Linked DNA regions of Lepisosteus oculatus. The protein of the gene in region 2 binds, or shares a complex with, the protein of the main gene of each other region. Links are inferred from orthologs where the notes say so. Each region holds a gene or a part of one and is shown on either strand. Other genes may lie near its edges. The genes, in order: dbn1 and zmynd8.

What was found.
Region 1: the proteins of zmynd8 (region 2) and dbn1 are in contact, whole or in part, in a crystal structure (PDB 5Y1Z), measured with the Homo sapiens proteins. The link is inferred for Lepisosteus oculatus from reciprocal best matches to the Homo sapiens genes ZMYND8 and DBN1. Residues at the interface, in NP_001350670.1 of Homo sapiens: Gln167, Pro168, Gly169, Thr170, Gln236, Ile237, Val240, Lys243, Ile244, His247, Trp269, Leu285, Gly287, Phe288, Phe307, Gly309, Gln310, His311, Asp312, Ala314, Thr335, Lys336, Ser337, Ile338; in NP_004386.3 of Homo sapiens: Met1, Ala2, Phe6, Ser7, Arg10, Leu11, Leu14, Tyr17, Glu18, Asp92, Ala93, Cys96, Ala97, Ala99, Ser100, Lys104, Glu107, Phe108, Gln110.

What each region holds. Positions count from the first base shown.
Region 1 is NC_090706.1:39,984,298-39,991,609, reverse strand, and holds the start of dbn1 (drebrin), read right to left. Parts: upstream 3,809-7,312; 5' UTR 3,720-3,808; intron 3,707-3,719; exon of another isoform or gene 3,629-3,706; 5' UTR 3,593-3,628; coding exon 3,510-3,592; intron 1-3,509. UniProt on the Homo sapiens protein: Actin cytoskeleton-organizing protein that plays a role in the formation of cell projections. Required for actin polymerization at immunological synapses (IS) and for the recruitment of the chemokine receptor CXCR4 to IS.
Region 2 is NC_090711.1:7,659,506-7,666,817, reverse strand, and holds the start of zmynd8 (MYND-type zinc finger-containing chromatin reader ZMYND8), read right to left. Parts: upstream 4,044-7,312; 5' UTR 3,749-4,043; intron 781-3,748; 5' UTR 563-780; coding exon 549-562; intron 1-548. Other genes in the region: translocating chain-associated membrane protein 1-like 1, read left to right, coding at 4,449-4,568, 6,210-6,270. UniProt on the Homo sapiens protein: Chromatin reader that recognizes dual histone modifications such as histone H3.1 dimethylated at 'Lys-36' and histone H4 acetylated at 'Lys-16' (H3.1K36me2-H4K16ac) and histone H3 methylated at 'Lys-4' and histone H4 acetylated at 'Lys-14' (H3K4me1-H3K14ac).

The DNA.
Region 1 (7,312 bases), on a different chromosome or scaffold from region 2:
ATCGGAGGAAAAAAGGCATCTGAAATTCCCACTAAGAAAAAAAAATACCTCTCTCTGGTGAGATGTTTTACATTTTTTTAGAAGGCGGAGTGCAGATGTTTTACCAAAAGGACACATAAAAGACACTCACGGCATGTTTTTAACCCCTAAAATGTTACCAGATCTATGTCATTATCGCATCACTTCCAGCAGTGGCTTGCCCAGTCGGGAGTCACGTTGGCCCGGAGTCTGTCTCAGGAAGCAGTGGGCACAAGGCAGGATACACCCTGGACAGGACAGCAGTCCATCGCAGGGCAGGCACACAGACACGGACACGCACACCCACACCGGGGCCAGTTCACTGAAAGCCACATGTCGTTGGGCTTGAGGAAACTGGGGCGCCCAGAGGAAAACCCACATGAACACGGGGAGAACATGCAGTCCACACAGACAGCACCCCAGGAATCGAACACGGGACCCCGGTGATGGGAGACCGCAGTGCCAACCACTGCTCCACAGTGCCACCCCCAAAAGCACCGTGTGTGCCAGTTATTCACAACAGTTCAAAGCTTTAAGAACCCAGTTACAAAATGGCAACAGGGCCTCTTGAAATCCATTCACCGTCAGAAGCCTCCCATTCCTGATGAGGGCTAACACAGCATGCGGCCTATCCTGGCCAGTCCAGCCCAGAGCACACAGAGACAACTGAGAGACCCCAGCTAACCGAACCAGTTAACTGGAAGGGTCCTGGAGCACCAGGAGGAAACATCTCCACTCAGAAATCATCCCAGTCCAGAATCCCACCCAAGACCCCAGAGCTGTAAGGAAATTCCAGATTTACTTACTTGGAAGTTCTGCAGATGCGTTTCAGTTTAAAAACAGAATTACAATACTGATAAACAGAAAAACCCTTCAGAGTTAGGTTTGACCAACACTAATTGAGAATTAAGCATAAGCAACACTGTTTTATTTTGGATATTGGTTACAATGCTCTTGGTCACTTTACAGTGACACCTGGGACTACGACCCCCCAGCTGTGTCTGCAAACTGTAGGAACAAACAGGACGTTTCATTTATTCCTGAAGAAGACCTTGGAGTCCATATTAGGTACCCCATTTTCACACCACTCCTTTTTATTCTTTCGGATCACATTGGAGGACAAATGTCAAATTTTCCATTTCCAGCAGCATGAAAGCAATTCTGTGAAAACGAGATTCATGAGGACGGAGCGACTGTCATTCCAAGGCACATCACAAAGCAGCGCCGCATTCAAAACAAGACACAAACGCTTGCAGGACAGCCCCAGTCCAGCTATGCATGACTGCTTTAACCTAAAATAATATTCACTTGAGACAGTCCTAATGTGAAATGGAATTAATTTATCTGGAGCCACAGAAATCTGCAGAACCCAACCAGCTGAAGACAATGCTCAGTGATCCACTCACTGATCTTAGACCTTTGCAAATGATTTGGAGTGTGTGGAGTATTTCCTGGACAAACATAAGCCCCTTACCCTAACCCATGAAGGATATAGATATCACTTCTTTTAAGTGACGTCTTCTTTCAGGAAAGTGACATCAGCTTCTTTAAAGCAAATGTAAAAGGTCAACAGGCAGCCACTACAGGGATGTGAGCACTGGAGTAAAGTGTTCCGACATACACACAGGAGAAACTCTTATCGTACAGAAATGACCTATAGATGACCTGACAAAAACCACCACCTATCTAGTTGTCTAAAAGATTGATCCCATTAAAGACAAACAAACAACAACCTGCAAAGAACCGGGTTTCCTCTACAGATGAACGTTACAACGGGAAAACAAGACTCCCAATGCAAGCGGCCAGATCCAGTTCACGTTTTTAGATGACTTGATAAACTTATGCACAGGCAGGTAGGTACGTTCAGCTCAGATAGTCACACGTTTTCTTCATTTTCCCATTGCTGCATATACTTTGTTCATGTCCAGGCAACTCATCAATTCTAAAAATTGATTCAGCTCTTATTCAAAGGGAGGAGTCTTTGTCTTTGTCTCCTTGCAAGAGGTGAATACAGTACCAGGGCCACTCCTGCAACAGTTACCACAGTCTAGTGAAACTGCTGCGTTCTCGTAGAAGTACAAGTAGACACCTAAGCTTTCCTCCCAGCAGTCCTCCTTAGCAAAATACTGCAGTCCTGTTACAAGCCTTTGGGATTACATCTCCATGTCTTTATACCGCCACACTCACTGTGCACCCTTCATAAAGCAACCTACAGATCCTATAGAAAAGTCCTGGTTCTCTATATAAATGGGTTCTATGGACATCCTGTTTAAACCTTTAGGTTATTTTCAAAAGGAAAGTCCTACCCTCCCCCCCAAAAAAAAAATCTATAGACCCTGCTGTCCCCTCTCCCCGGCACAGCTGCGCTCCGATGAATAATTATATCAGCGATTGACTCCTGTCTTCAGCCAAGGAAACATCTCATCAATCCGCTGAAACGCAGCTAAAACACTGCGTCCTCTAACGAGGCATGAACAACTGCCCATCACACCCCAGGTGCTCACGGGCTGCGGGCTGAGGAACATCGCCACCGCCGAGCTGAAACGCCGCAGAAAGTTACTACGCCGTTGGCGTCGGATCCGACGGGATGCAAGGGCACGCCACACACTCGTGTGCCGAGCCAGTGGGCTTGGGGCTGACTGTTGCGCCGAAAGCCGGTCCCTTCTCGCCTCGCCCACTCCACCACTCGCGGAGGTGCTGTCAGGGAGCACAGCCGAGCGACAGGAGCGAGGTGGACCCCTCCTCAGCCGTGCCCAGTACGACAAAAAAAAAAAAGACCAACGGAAAAAGCTTCGGAACTACAAATTAGCCTGAACTAGCGGTCATCCGAGGCAGAGCAGCCTGTGACAGAGCAAACAATAGTACATCTTGCAAAACATTAGCGGCTACTCGGATTTCTGACAATGCGTAATGCGTGACGGACTCACGAGGGGGTAAATTGGCCCCCCCAAAAAAAGAGAACAAGAAAGGCAAAATTATGTGCAATAAAAAATACTAAAATATGGCTAACGAATCAATTGTCTGTTGAACGCAAAGCATTATCAAATCCCAAAGCTAATCAAGTGTTTTTTTTTCCTTTTTCTAAAAAAACCCTGGTGTTAAAGTCTGACCTTTTCTCTTTTGGGGGGTACAATAAGGTTGGGGGGGGTGTTTGTCACGAAATCAACATGCCGTATCACGTAAGGTGATATCAGCTTACATTTCCATAAACTGCGGTCATTAAACATGCAAAGTAACTGATTTTGCACGGCTGCACCCCAAGTGCCAAAAGCATTTATCGCCTGCCCAGAGTTTATCCACAGAAAGGCTGCTGCTGCATCTATCCGAGGCGTTTCAGCGCAAACCGTACAGTAGTATGATGAGGCATCATTCCCCGGCCGTGGACATCAGTACCCACATTGTTCGGCAGTGATATTGCACAAGCCTACGCCTTATAATAAAACCCCAGCACCACACCAGCGGGTGGGGATACCTATGTACGTTTGCCTTACCAGTCGGTGGACGAAGTCTCGCTGATAACATCCTGGTAGGCTGTTAACAGGGCCAGTCGATTCTTGCTGAGATTCACAGCCATTTTGCTGTCCTCGCAGTCATCCAGACCTGTGTAATACTGTAATGGAATAAAAGGAGAGGAGAGAGTGAGGCTGCGGGGAGACAGATCTCGAGATTGGAACAAAGAGACGGTCCTTCTCTGCACTAACCTAATGTTCTGCTCGGTCCTAGTGCTACCACCACCGCGGGGAGGCGCAGGTTACAACGCCGGGTCCTAGCGCCGGCCCAGCCCGGCCATATATGGACTGCGCTGATGATGTCATTCTTGACAGGGTATACTGACAATCAAGAGAAGCCAGCAAAGGTTTATTCCCTGCTGGAAAGAGAAGGAAGGAAACACAACGTTTCGGCTGTGGAGCCTTCTTCGGGTTCAAAAGAAGCCTATCGCTCTACTGGTGAAGGCTGGCCTTTAAAAAATACATTCAGATTTTGGTCGCTGATTCAATGTTTTTTGACAGACCGGTGATTGAACAATGGGGATACCGTCATTGATTATTCAGCCATTTTTGCGACGGATCCTGACACACTCCAGTGACATAGCTGCTTACGTATGGAATCTCCTGGCGGGAGAGAAGGTTGACTCGGAACCGGCGGAGAGTTTGTTCCTGTCCAGCCCGGTGAAAATGAAGAAAGGGATACACAGAAAGGAACCGATATACTCCACTCCTCCAGAGAAAGAGGCTTTTGTGTCCTCGGTTTGTTGGAGCCACACCTCAAGTGGACAGCTTCGCTGGAGTCCCCTTGAGAGACGAATCAAGGCCTTGCGTTGAACGTCCCTGAAGGACGTCCGCGAGTGTGGCGCAGGGGTGCAGAATGATACTCTAACTGTGGTGTTCATAGCCCGGTCAACAGGGAGGTCTAGGTGTGATGTTCTGGGCAGGAGTGTCCAGCGTCTGCAGAACAGCTCCTGTAGAGACTGAAGGCAGCCCGACTGCACGGAGCTACACTGGGACCTTCCTGAAGGCTCGACAACACACAACACACGAGGGCCTTCTTGCCAGGTGAAGGTGGGGCAGCTGTGCCAGGGAGGCTCTGTTCACCACATGTAAAGCCTGATGCGCGTCTGTGTGTGGGGTGGGTGTGTTGGGAATATGTTTAGCATTTAGGGATCAGAGACCAGTGCACAGGTTTGTCCAGGAACATCGAGAGGAATCATGCTGGTAGAGAGAGTTTCACCAAGCATCATCTGCAACCCGGTGTACGCTAAATCATGCTTGTGCAGTTTTTGTACAGCTTCCAGCATTCCCCACACGTGCCATTGGCCTGTGAAGAGCTCCCATCAACCCTGTGGATCACATATTTTAATCAGCATAAGGAGTTTACCTACGGTCCATCACATCCATCAATAACAAGTGAGGTGGCCTGATACAAAATGATTGTCCTTACACTGATAACCTTGTGAATTTGAGTTATGCAGTTTGTTTTGATGTTTAGTATGTGAACCGTGTATGTCCCCTTTATACACGATGTTAAAGATAATCTCTGATTACAACATGTAGGCATGCTTGTGGATATCACATTCAGCTTCTGTCTTCTTACGTTCTACATTTACACGATGTTCCAATACTGAGAATATTCATCTCTGCTGCTGGAGAGCCACTGTGTCTATTGGCTTTCTTTCCAGCTGGGCTCTGAAATGCCTAATTCCTTCTTCAAGCAAAGGAGTTCAAATACTTTTCAGGTTTTTGCTCATTGACTATTTAAGATTGGCTACACAGCCTGCAGGACTGCAGCTCTCTGATCCTTAGGTCCTGAAGAATTTGGTTTCCTTTCATGTTTCAAGTTGAGACCCAATGATGAAGAGCTCCAATTTCCACCAGAAAACCCTGAAACTGACTGAATTCAAGGAGCTGTTGCAGCAAAAGTAACCTTCGCTGACAAAGAAAAACAAACCTAGTTTTGTTAGTGCTAATCATCCAAGAACATTACATCATCGGTGAGGATGTTTATATTTTACCGTGAACCAAGTGTTTTAGTAGGGATGATCTTGTTATGATGGCCTTAAATCATTGCTTTGTAGGAGTCTTTGAACCCTTTATTTACCTTCCAAGGCGGTGAGCTCATAAATGTTTAACTTAACCCAATCTCCCTTCTGTCTCTTGATATGAAGTGATCAGTTGTGCACTCTTGCACTCTTTTCAACGAGTCTTCATTGAAAGTAACATGAAAGCTGTGGCTATTTAAGTTAAAACCTCTGGAAACACAGTAACCATGCAGAACCTACATCCACAGCCCTACTCCTGAAGAGAGAGTTTGGAAGGTCTCCTAAGTTAAACCTGAACAGTCCTTCAAAAGAGACCAGCATACTCCATTATACCATTCAATGAAGCAAGTAACCACTAATATTCAAAGCTTAACTGGCACTAAACACCAGAACACATTATGGGTCTTCAGGAGCAGGGCTAGTTACTTGTTTTATAGTCTATGGTGATTCTGTAAGAGTACTGCACACTTAGATGAGTCCTAGTGAAATTTAAACTGAAATTCAGACCTTTAGCTCGTGGAGACTCTCTGCCATGGGGCCATGCCTAATAACCAGGCCATTAAAACGTTAAGTAATCACCATCCACCAGTCATGACCACTGTAGGACACCGCCTGTCAACCGTACTTCAATGTGCCAGAGTGTGTAGCGTACATTTTTTTATTTTTCATTTGTTCCACTGTTTTCACATTGTTTCACTTCACACTATGCAGAGAAAGAGCCTCACTTGGTGAAAATGATTGAAAACGTTTTAATGTGTCAGACTGAGCAAGAGTGCCACCTCTGAGCGAAACGTGTGTCCTACGCTTCATCAAGAGCTTTAGAAAAAATGACAAAATTGCTATTTTCACATCTGTTTTTGTTAACTTTGTAAGATAAGAGATAAGATCACTTTATTGGCCATATACAATTTCTTGTATTAGGAATTTGTCTTTTTGCATACCCCAGCCTGCTCTCCATGAGACACACAGACAGCCTCCGCAGCTGCGTTTTTTTACACATGTACGTATATATAACCTATACAGAGATCAGGTAGTAAACAGGCAGTTACGTGTTCTCCCTGACTCTGACACACACAGACAAGAACCCCCTCCCCCCACCGGCTCTCCCCACTGCCTAATGGGGCACCCCACATCCTGCAGCCTCTTCTCTCTGTAAGTGGGTTAACAATAATTAGTGCTCAGTGCTCAGCCAATCCCTGAGCCCCCAGACAGGCGGATGGTGGAGGTACCAATTATTTCAATTGTGATGTTGATTACTCTCGGGGAGACATCTGCCCAGCGCAATCTGGGCTGGGAACCCAGAGCCCCCCCCTCCTCCTCTCGCACCATGTCAGACCAGCATCGGATTTCAAGCTCCTCCGTCCCCCGGTGCAGCAGCACTGGGCTGCCGCCCTCCATCAGAGTGATTAGAAGGGCTGCCCTTCTCAGCCCGAGACTGACCGAAGCTGCCAGCTAGGGGCCGTGCATTTGCACCTGCTCACAGACCTGACGCGAGCCGACGGAGCCGTGCTTCCGGGGAATCGTGGAAGGTGTAGGAAACAAAATGGTGGGAGTGATCAGAACTGATTCATTTTTAAGTAATGCTAATATCCAGAGCTCCTCTAACTATAACAGTATCCATGAGGTTCATGCTTATTAGAACAGCTGTTCATCAGAAAACAAGAAAGAGTGCAAGCGAGAGGAGGTCATTCAGCCCATCTGGGCCGTTTTAAGGTTAATTGACGTGAGGATCTCCACCAGGTGTGTCTTGGAAGGAGC
Region 2 (7,312 bases):
AGGAGAGGGCTCTAATACACTGTTCCTTGCAGTTCCTCAAGTCCTGTTCTGTAAAATTAGTTGAAAGCAATGTTTTTCAGTCGTTTGCAGGAACAAAAAGCTGTGCACACTCTCTCCATTACCTTACACCAAAATGTAAACCTGTGTGCTACTCTGTAAGCCATTTGCTCCCCCAGGGATCCCTGCTGTGCTGTTGTAGCTACATCTGTTTCTTAACTTCCATTTTATCTGAGGCTGACATGTGACACAGGCAAACAATGATGCAGGCAATCTGCTTACAAAGAGATCCCTCACAATCAGAAAAGACTAAATCAACAGAAAGAAAATGTTACATATATTCCTGTCTTGCAAAAAGGATTTGCCATGGTCATCTCTGCAATGGAGACTGGCTAAGTAACCATGTGACCACAGCCAGCAAGAGAAACTGCTTTTGCTTCTGCCTGGTTCCAGTGCTGTGGTGTGTGATTTGCAGGCTTCCCTCTCAAAGAACAATATTCTGGTATTAGATAAACAGTACATTAAGGAAAAAGTAAGAAAATCAGGCTTACCTCTGTGGATGCATGGCTAACACAGTGTTATGTCAATACTTATAAAACATGGAGGACAGTCTCAGTTCTTAGACAGAAAGGGCTTGGCACTTCAGCTTGATGATCAGACTGCCAGATAGAAGCTAGACCCTGAATGGCCTCTTTTCACTACCGGGATGTAAAGCGGCAGCGGATTGGCTGAAACATTTCCTGAGTAATTATCTTTGTTCAGCTCAAGCAGGCAGGAGCAGCTCTGTGGACAAAAAGAAGAGCCAGATCTAGGCCCAAATCACAAAATACACACTTTAAAACATTCCTACAAACAAATGAACACATACAATGTTCTAAAATCGTTACCAATCACTGCATCCTACATTGGCTGGGTTGTATTTAACTGTATTTTCCAAAATATTTCCCCAAAACATGAAAACTAGGAGCAGTCTGACTCGTCCTCCCTGTTGCAGAGAGAAAGGCCTTTGTCTAAGAAATCCCTCCCTTTTATTTTAACAATCCACAGAAAATTTAAGTTCCCAAATGCAAAAGTATACGAATGAAGAGTAAGAATAAATGGTGACAGCAGTCTGTAGAAGGTCTGTCTTAGGCCCATCTGTAAATCTACCAGGCTTCTAGAAATATTACATTTATAAGATTCTTAAGAACAAAATAGTCAACTGGCCAACTACACAATTATTTGTGTATATATATATATCTTTCCTATATATATGCAGAAATATTAGATATAAAAACATGCAGACAATATACAGTGAATGTAAATATTATATTTTAAAGGCATATTTCTAATATTACACAACATCTCACAAAATGTTAGTATTGCAAATTCAGTTAATTCCCATTAGATTCCACAAAATTACTGTTTTCTCTAGATCTTGGTCTACTTACAATCTCTTAGAAAAAGACAGTTTGATTGTGCATTACTAATCAAATACTGTATTAGATTTAATCCAGAAATAAAAATAGATTTGTATACAAGCACTAAACATCTACCAAAATGAACTGTTTTCTATATGAAAAATATTGTTTTGTTTTCGTAATTTCTGGTTTTCCAACAGAAAATTATTATTTAAATATAGTACTGTCATGGTTGTTTTATGTCAGGAGAAAAGGCTGACATTACCTCAATCAAAGTGGAACTGTGTGTACTGTTTTTTTCCTATTTTCCCCATGAAATATATGCACTGTGCTACAAAAAGTAGCCAATGTCCTCTAGTCGGGTCACAAACTCTGATTAACAGCAACAGCAATTTGTTTTTTTTACATGTGATTCACAAATTTCTATTAATTGGTTATTGGGGTATTGTTGCATTTGTGAAACAAATGTTTTTAAAAGTAAATATAAAATAATATTTCATATAAATAATATATAATAAGCTTTTTATACATAATTTAAACACAAACATGCCATATATTTTCATTGTGAATTCAAACTGTGCATCTATAACAAATTGTATTTTATTTCAGAATGGCATAATATTTCTTACATATCAGGCCGCACTGCTATAGTTTTGCATAATAAAAGTTAATTTATGTGGCAAGAACAAGGAATTCTACCAATCACAAAGATAAAACAATCATATAAAAAAAAATTCATAACAGATTTAAAAGCACCCAACATATAGAGATATACATTGGCTACTACTTACAATTTTTGTGAGATTCAGGTGTCTAAAAGCTTAAAGTATTGGCCTCACTCACTCCTTCCTATAATGGAGTGTCGAAAATGGACTTCTTACTAATTACTGAACAGCCTGCAATTATATGTTCTGACACCTGCACGTGTTGAACACCTTCTAATACTGCTATACACCTGCATTATAATTTTACAATTCACTTGTAGAAGAAACATTATTTTCGCAGGAAATACTATTTACTGTATAGCTTTGTGCCCTTTTTCTGTGATCCTAAATGTAATAGTGACACCTTGAGGCAAATTCTAGTATAGATAAATAGGCTGCACTCTCACATCCTACACTAATCACGTTGTGTTCTTTCATGCCTTGGCACATTAGACTTCCATATACATAGAATTAAAGGGTCAGATGATAAACAACCAGAACCTTAGAGTGGTCATTTACATTTACACCTTTTCCACCACATAGCTCAGTTACTATTCTGAATACTTCATCACCACTCCATCACTGCACAAAATTACTTTTACAGACTGAAGCTTATAAATGTGTTCTATGTGCATAGGCTGCCCAGCTGTTGATTAACCACACCTGGATACACAGCGTTTAAAAATGTCTCCTCCAGTCCTGGCACTGAAACAAAGTGGAGACAAATGGCTGTCAAAAATCTCTCATTTTTTTGGTGAGCACAATACAGTACTTGTGTTGAGGCCTTCAAAGTGAACACACCACATCTCTTTGAGAATTGTAAGTCTTCATCAGCCTCGGGAGTGCTGAAGCTTTTTTTTTCAGACAAGCTGGAAGATGATTTATAGTAAGATGCTGTCCTCACAATGGATATTTTTAAGGGAGCTCTTATCTCTTTAAGGTGACATCCTCTTAGGCCCAGCCCTCACTGCCATGATGTTTAAAACACACAGGCACTGATGACTTGATTTTGCTTCTGAAGATTTTGCAACTTCCCTGAATTAATTTTTCTGTCTTTTAAATATAAAGCATGTCTGTATTTACATTTCTATGCACTGGCTTCTGCAGCCACTGGCTGTTGAATTCAGCGGCACTCAGGAATCGCACTAGGCAACATGGCAGTAATTAACTAAAATATGTCAATATAATTGCTTATCATTGCATATTATGGCTATGCATGTAAACAATTGCATACAGTTGATAGTACTTATACATTAAGTGTATAAGTGTCCAAGTGAACAGGCTCATTTATTTAAGTTACCACTCAGCCAGACCTTTATATCTAAATAATTTAATCACAAAATGGAATTCTAGTTTCATTCCAACGAGACTCTTCACACCTTCACTTGATGCAGCTTGCAAACGCTTTAACAGGAAGGTTCTGTACATACCAAAACCCTTCGGTAGTTGTAAGTGTAACTAGATTTAAGGAAACGGTAATCGCACAGGATTTTTAATGCTCCTCTGAAGTGAGTAACCAAACCTTAGTTGCATTGCGCCCCGTGTAATGTTTTCTTTGGTCCCGATACAAAATCTCTCCAGAAATGTAAAGTATTCTAGACTATCAGTGCAGCCCTTTGTTTCTTTTCATGAAACGGCTTTACTAACCTTTGGTGAAGAAATCGGTGTTATCCCAGTCTTGCTTGTACAATGCTTTAAAAAAACGTGTGTGTATGGATTATGTGCCTCCTAAGCATTCAGAACCCCCATCGGCCACTCTCATTCTAAAAAAAAACCCTTCTTTTTCTGTACCCTAAAACTGCAAGGTTTAATGCTCATGAACGCGTTCTTATTGGAGAAGACAGCAGTCGATCTTGTTGTGAAGGGGAAATAAAGCGCTTCAGCACGCTGTGACAACACGACGACGACGACTCAAGTCAGAGAGCTTTGACGTAGCGGAGATGGAGGCCTTGACGGTTTTCTGCCCTGCCCGGCAGGTTCACCGAGCGTGGGTGACGATTGGCGGACGCCTCAGCCGCTCATCCCGGCTTCCTTTTTCCGATTGGTCCATCTGCCCGTCCATCAGACGTGTGTCCCTGCCGCGGGGGGCGGGACCTGTGCGTCAGTGGGCGGTGCTTGGAGGAGTCTGGAGTAGAATCTGGGAGGGTACGTCGGGCTGAGTCCGGTGGTTGCGTGCGTGGTGTGTGTGTGTGTGTTTGTGAGCACATTTTGCCTTCTGTCGATCCTCTCGAATTCATGCTAAAATACTGCACCTTCTCAACAGTGAAGTGGCGGGGCAAGAGGAAAGGGGGGTCTTGTTTTTGGGAAACACACGCGGGAAGAAGTGCTTGCCGAGTCAGCCAGAGCCATGGGTTTCCGTAAGAAGAACAAGAGCCCGCCGGTACTGAGCCACGAGTTCGTGATCCAGAACCACGCGGATATGGTGTCGTGCGTGGCCATGATCATTCTGCTGGGACTCATGTTTGAGGTACAGTAAGGAAACAACAAAAAGCAGATCGGCACGCAGGACACCCGGTTGACAGCCACAAGGGGGCTGGGCACAAACTATCCCCCCCTGATCATTAAGACTGAACGCGGCCATATAAACCTGGTCACATTACAGGAAAAGCTCCTCTCAACAGGGCAAATAGTTCAGAGTGCCGAACACAAGAGCTCCCGGACATAGTTCAGAGCCGCCAGAAATGTCTTTATTGGTTTATATAACGCCTCAGCTTACTGGGCTGATGTCACAGCTAGGCACCCACATCAAAATATCATTTTACACCGAAGATATGTTTTTAAGAGGTACTGTAGCTGGCTAACTCGAAGGGCAGTGACGCCTGGTCGATGGTTAAAGTGTTATTAATGATCGGATGTGCCAAATGCAGCTATGTACCTTGCCATACTGCAGGTGCTTTAGGGTTGTACTAAATATAACCGCAAAAAGCAATGTTTTAAACGTTTATTTTTTTTCTGCCTGTTACCTGTTACTGATGGTAATATTTCGAATGCGAACGACGACGAACTTGACAAAATGTTTGTTTTCGCGTCTCGGCAGTCATTATTTACATTGAAGGGTGCGAGGCACAGCTTTTGTTTTTGGAGCGAATGAACTAATGGCACCTGGACGGTTTAAAATTTAAAATTTAAAATGTCTTCTGTTAATTCATAAAGTTACTAATTTTAGTTTTACAGCATAAAACTGACGTTGCACGAGTTGTCCAAAGGGTTCAGCAGTCTTGCATTATCATGCATTAACTTCATGTGTACATGTTTTTGATACAGTACAATTTATTTGTATTTGTATTTACTGGATTATGATATTATCTGCGGTTTCTGCTACAATGCATTTTTTATGTAGTGCATCGTATAAAACTCTTCCACAAAGAGAGGCTTTGTCTGGAAGTTCAGGAATAGTCATTGAAAATGGGGCAACACTAGGTGAAACTGTGAGAATTGAAAGCCATTGCTATCTCACATGCCAGCTCTGAAAATATTTCAAATCTGTAGCCGGGTTTGTACAGGGCACCAGAAAAACACAAGACAGTGTGACTCACACTGTCACACAGGCCCTTTTCTGGGCCTGAAAAGGGGGTTAAAACGAAATGCATCATCTTATAATGTCATTGCACATTGATGCAGAGTTTTCACATCAGTAACCTGATTTGCAAAGAAGCAGAAATACCACATTAGGACAAGACATAAGTGTCAGGGCCCGCCATTTAGGATATAAATAAAAATATTGATGAACTGACATCCAAAGGAGTTTTGAAGTTTGAGACAAAATGATTATGTGTGCCATTCCCTGGGGAAGAAAAAAAAACAGAGCACCAAGCATTGGAAAATATCAGAGCAAATAAAAATGGACACAATTGTTTTTCTTAATATTCACATTTAGAGCTCAGGCAGAGATTAGGTTTTCCTGCCCTGGAAAATTGCATTAAAGCAAATCTTGACTACGTGCACTTTAGCAGTACATCATTGGACCTTCATGTTACGATTTTACATGTTCAGTTCATGCTTGTTGCCCTTCATACAAGTTTAATGTTTAGTTTGGAGTGTATTTTTTCTATTGGAGAGAGAGAGCATTTTAATGACTGTTTCTTCATTGTTCTTTTTTTTTCTGCAGGTAACAGCAAAATATGCCATCATGTTTATTACTGTCCAATACAATGTGACATACACGCTTGGTAAGTCTTAAACTTTAATAAAAAACACATGGGGTACACTTTTACAGTGTGTAAAGTTGGTTAAATATTATCTCAGAAATATGCTATTTGTGTTTTGCCTCAGAGCCTTTTACTTCACTGTAACATTTCCTTGTTTTTTGTTCGTTAAATAATTAATTCTTTACACTTATATAGCACTTTTCTGGGGACTCAACTCAAAGGACTTTAATAAAACTAAAGCATTGCTACAATAAAGTTTGATACAGAGTCCTTACAGCTGCTGGGAATAATCACAAAAGTCGAGCATGGCAGAGGCTTTTTACATTCAGAAAAGGCTTGAGTGAAGCCAGTGTCCCAGTTTCATTTGCTTGGTGTTGCATTGTCTGGTAGCACACTACAATGAAAAGTTTACCCACTGAGACAACTTGGGTTAAGATGTGCAGAAGTCAAAAGAAATGCGTTAGGAAAAACTGAGGGGGGTAAGAAATGAGATCATCTTCATCAGAGTAACCATGCAGTTGACATAGGTTTTGGGCTAAAGAGCAGCTCTTCAGATGTGCTATGTGTGTGTTAGTGTCTGTTGCGTGCAGACTGTTAAGGTCAATCCAGAATCATCTAAAATCGATGAAAACGCAAGTAAAAGCCTTTCTGATGCCTTTTGTTTTGTCTGCCTAATTTTTTTTTCCCATCTTTTTTCAAAAGTTTAAATACGATGAGTACTGTGTATCTCCAGAAAGGGGTAGGTTTAATCAAACTCATGCTAAAGAGGTTTACAGTTAACATTTAGTATAACAAAATTGGACTCACCCCGGGGACAGGACTGATGGTTGCATCAGTAATGGTGCAGAAATTCTCATCCCTGGTTCTAAATGCTGTTGCTGGAATGTTTTCCTTTGACCTTGTTCTTAGGAAGCATTCACCGATATTAATCTGTAGTTAAAGGTATAATGCTGCTTAACTGGAAAAAGAAAAGAGCATGGCTCAACTGCTGTTTGCTTGAAAAAATTTTCAAAATGCATAAATTCTTTTGGAATATTGAGCAATTTTAAAATTGGAAAACTAC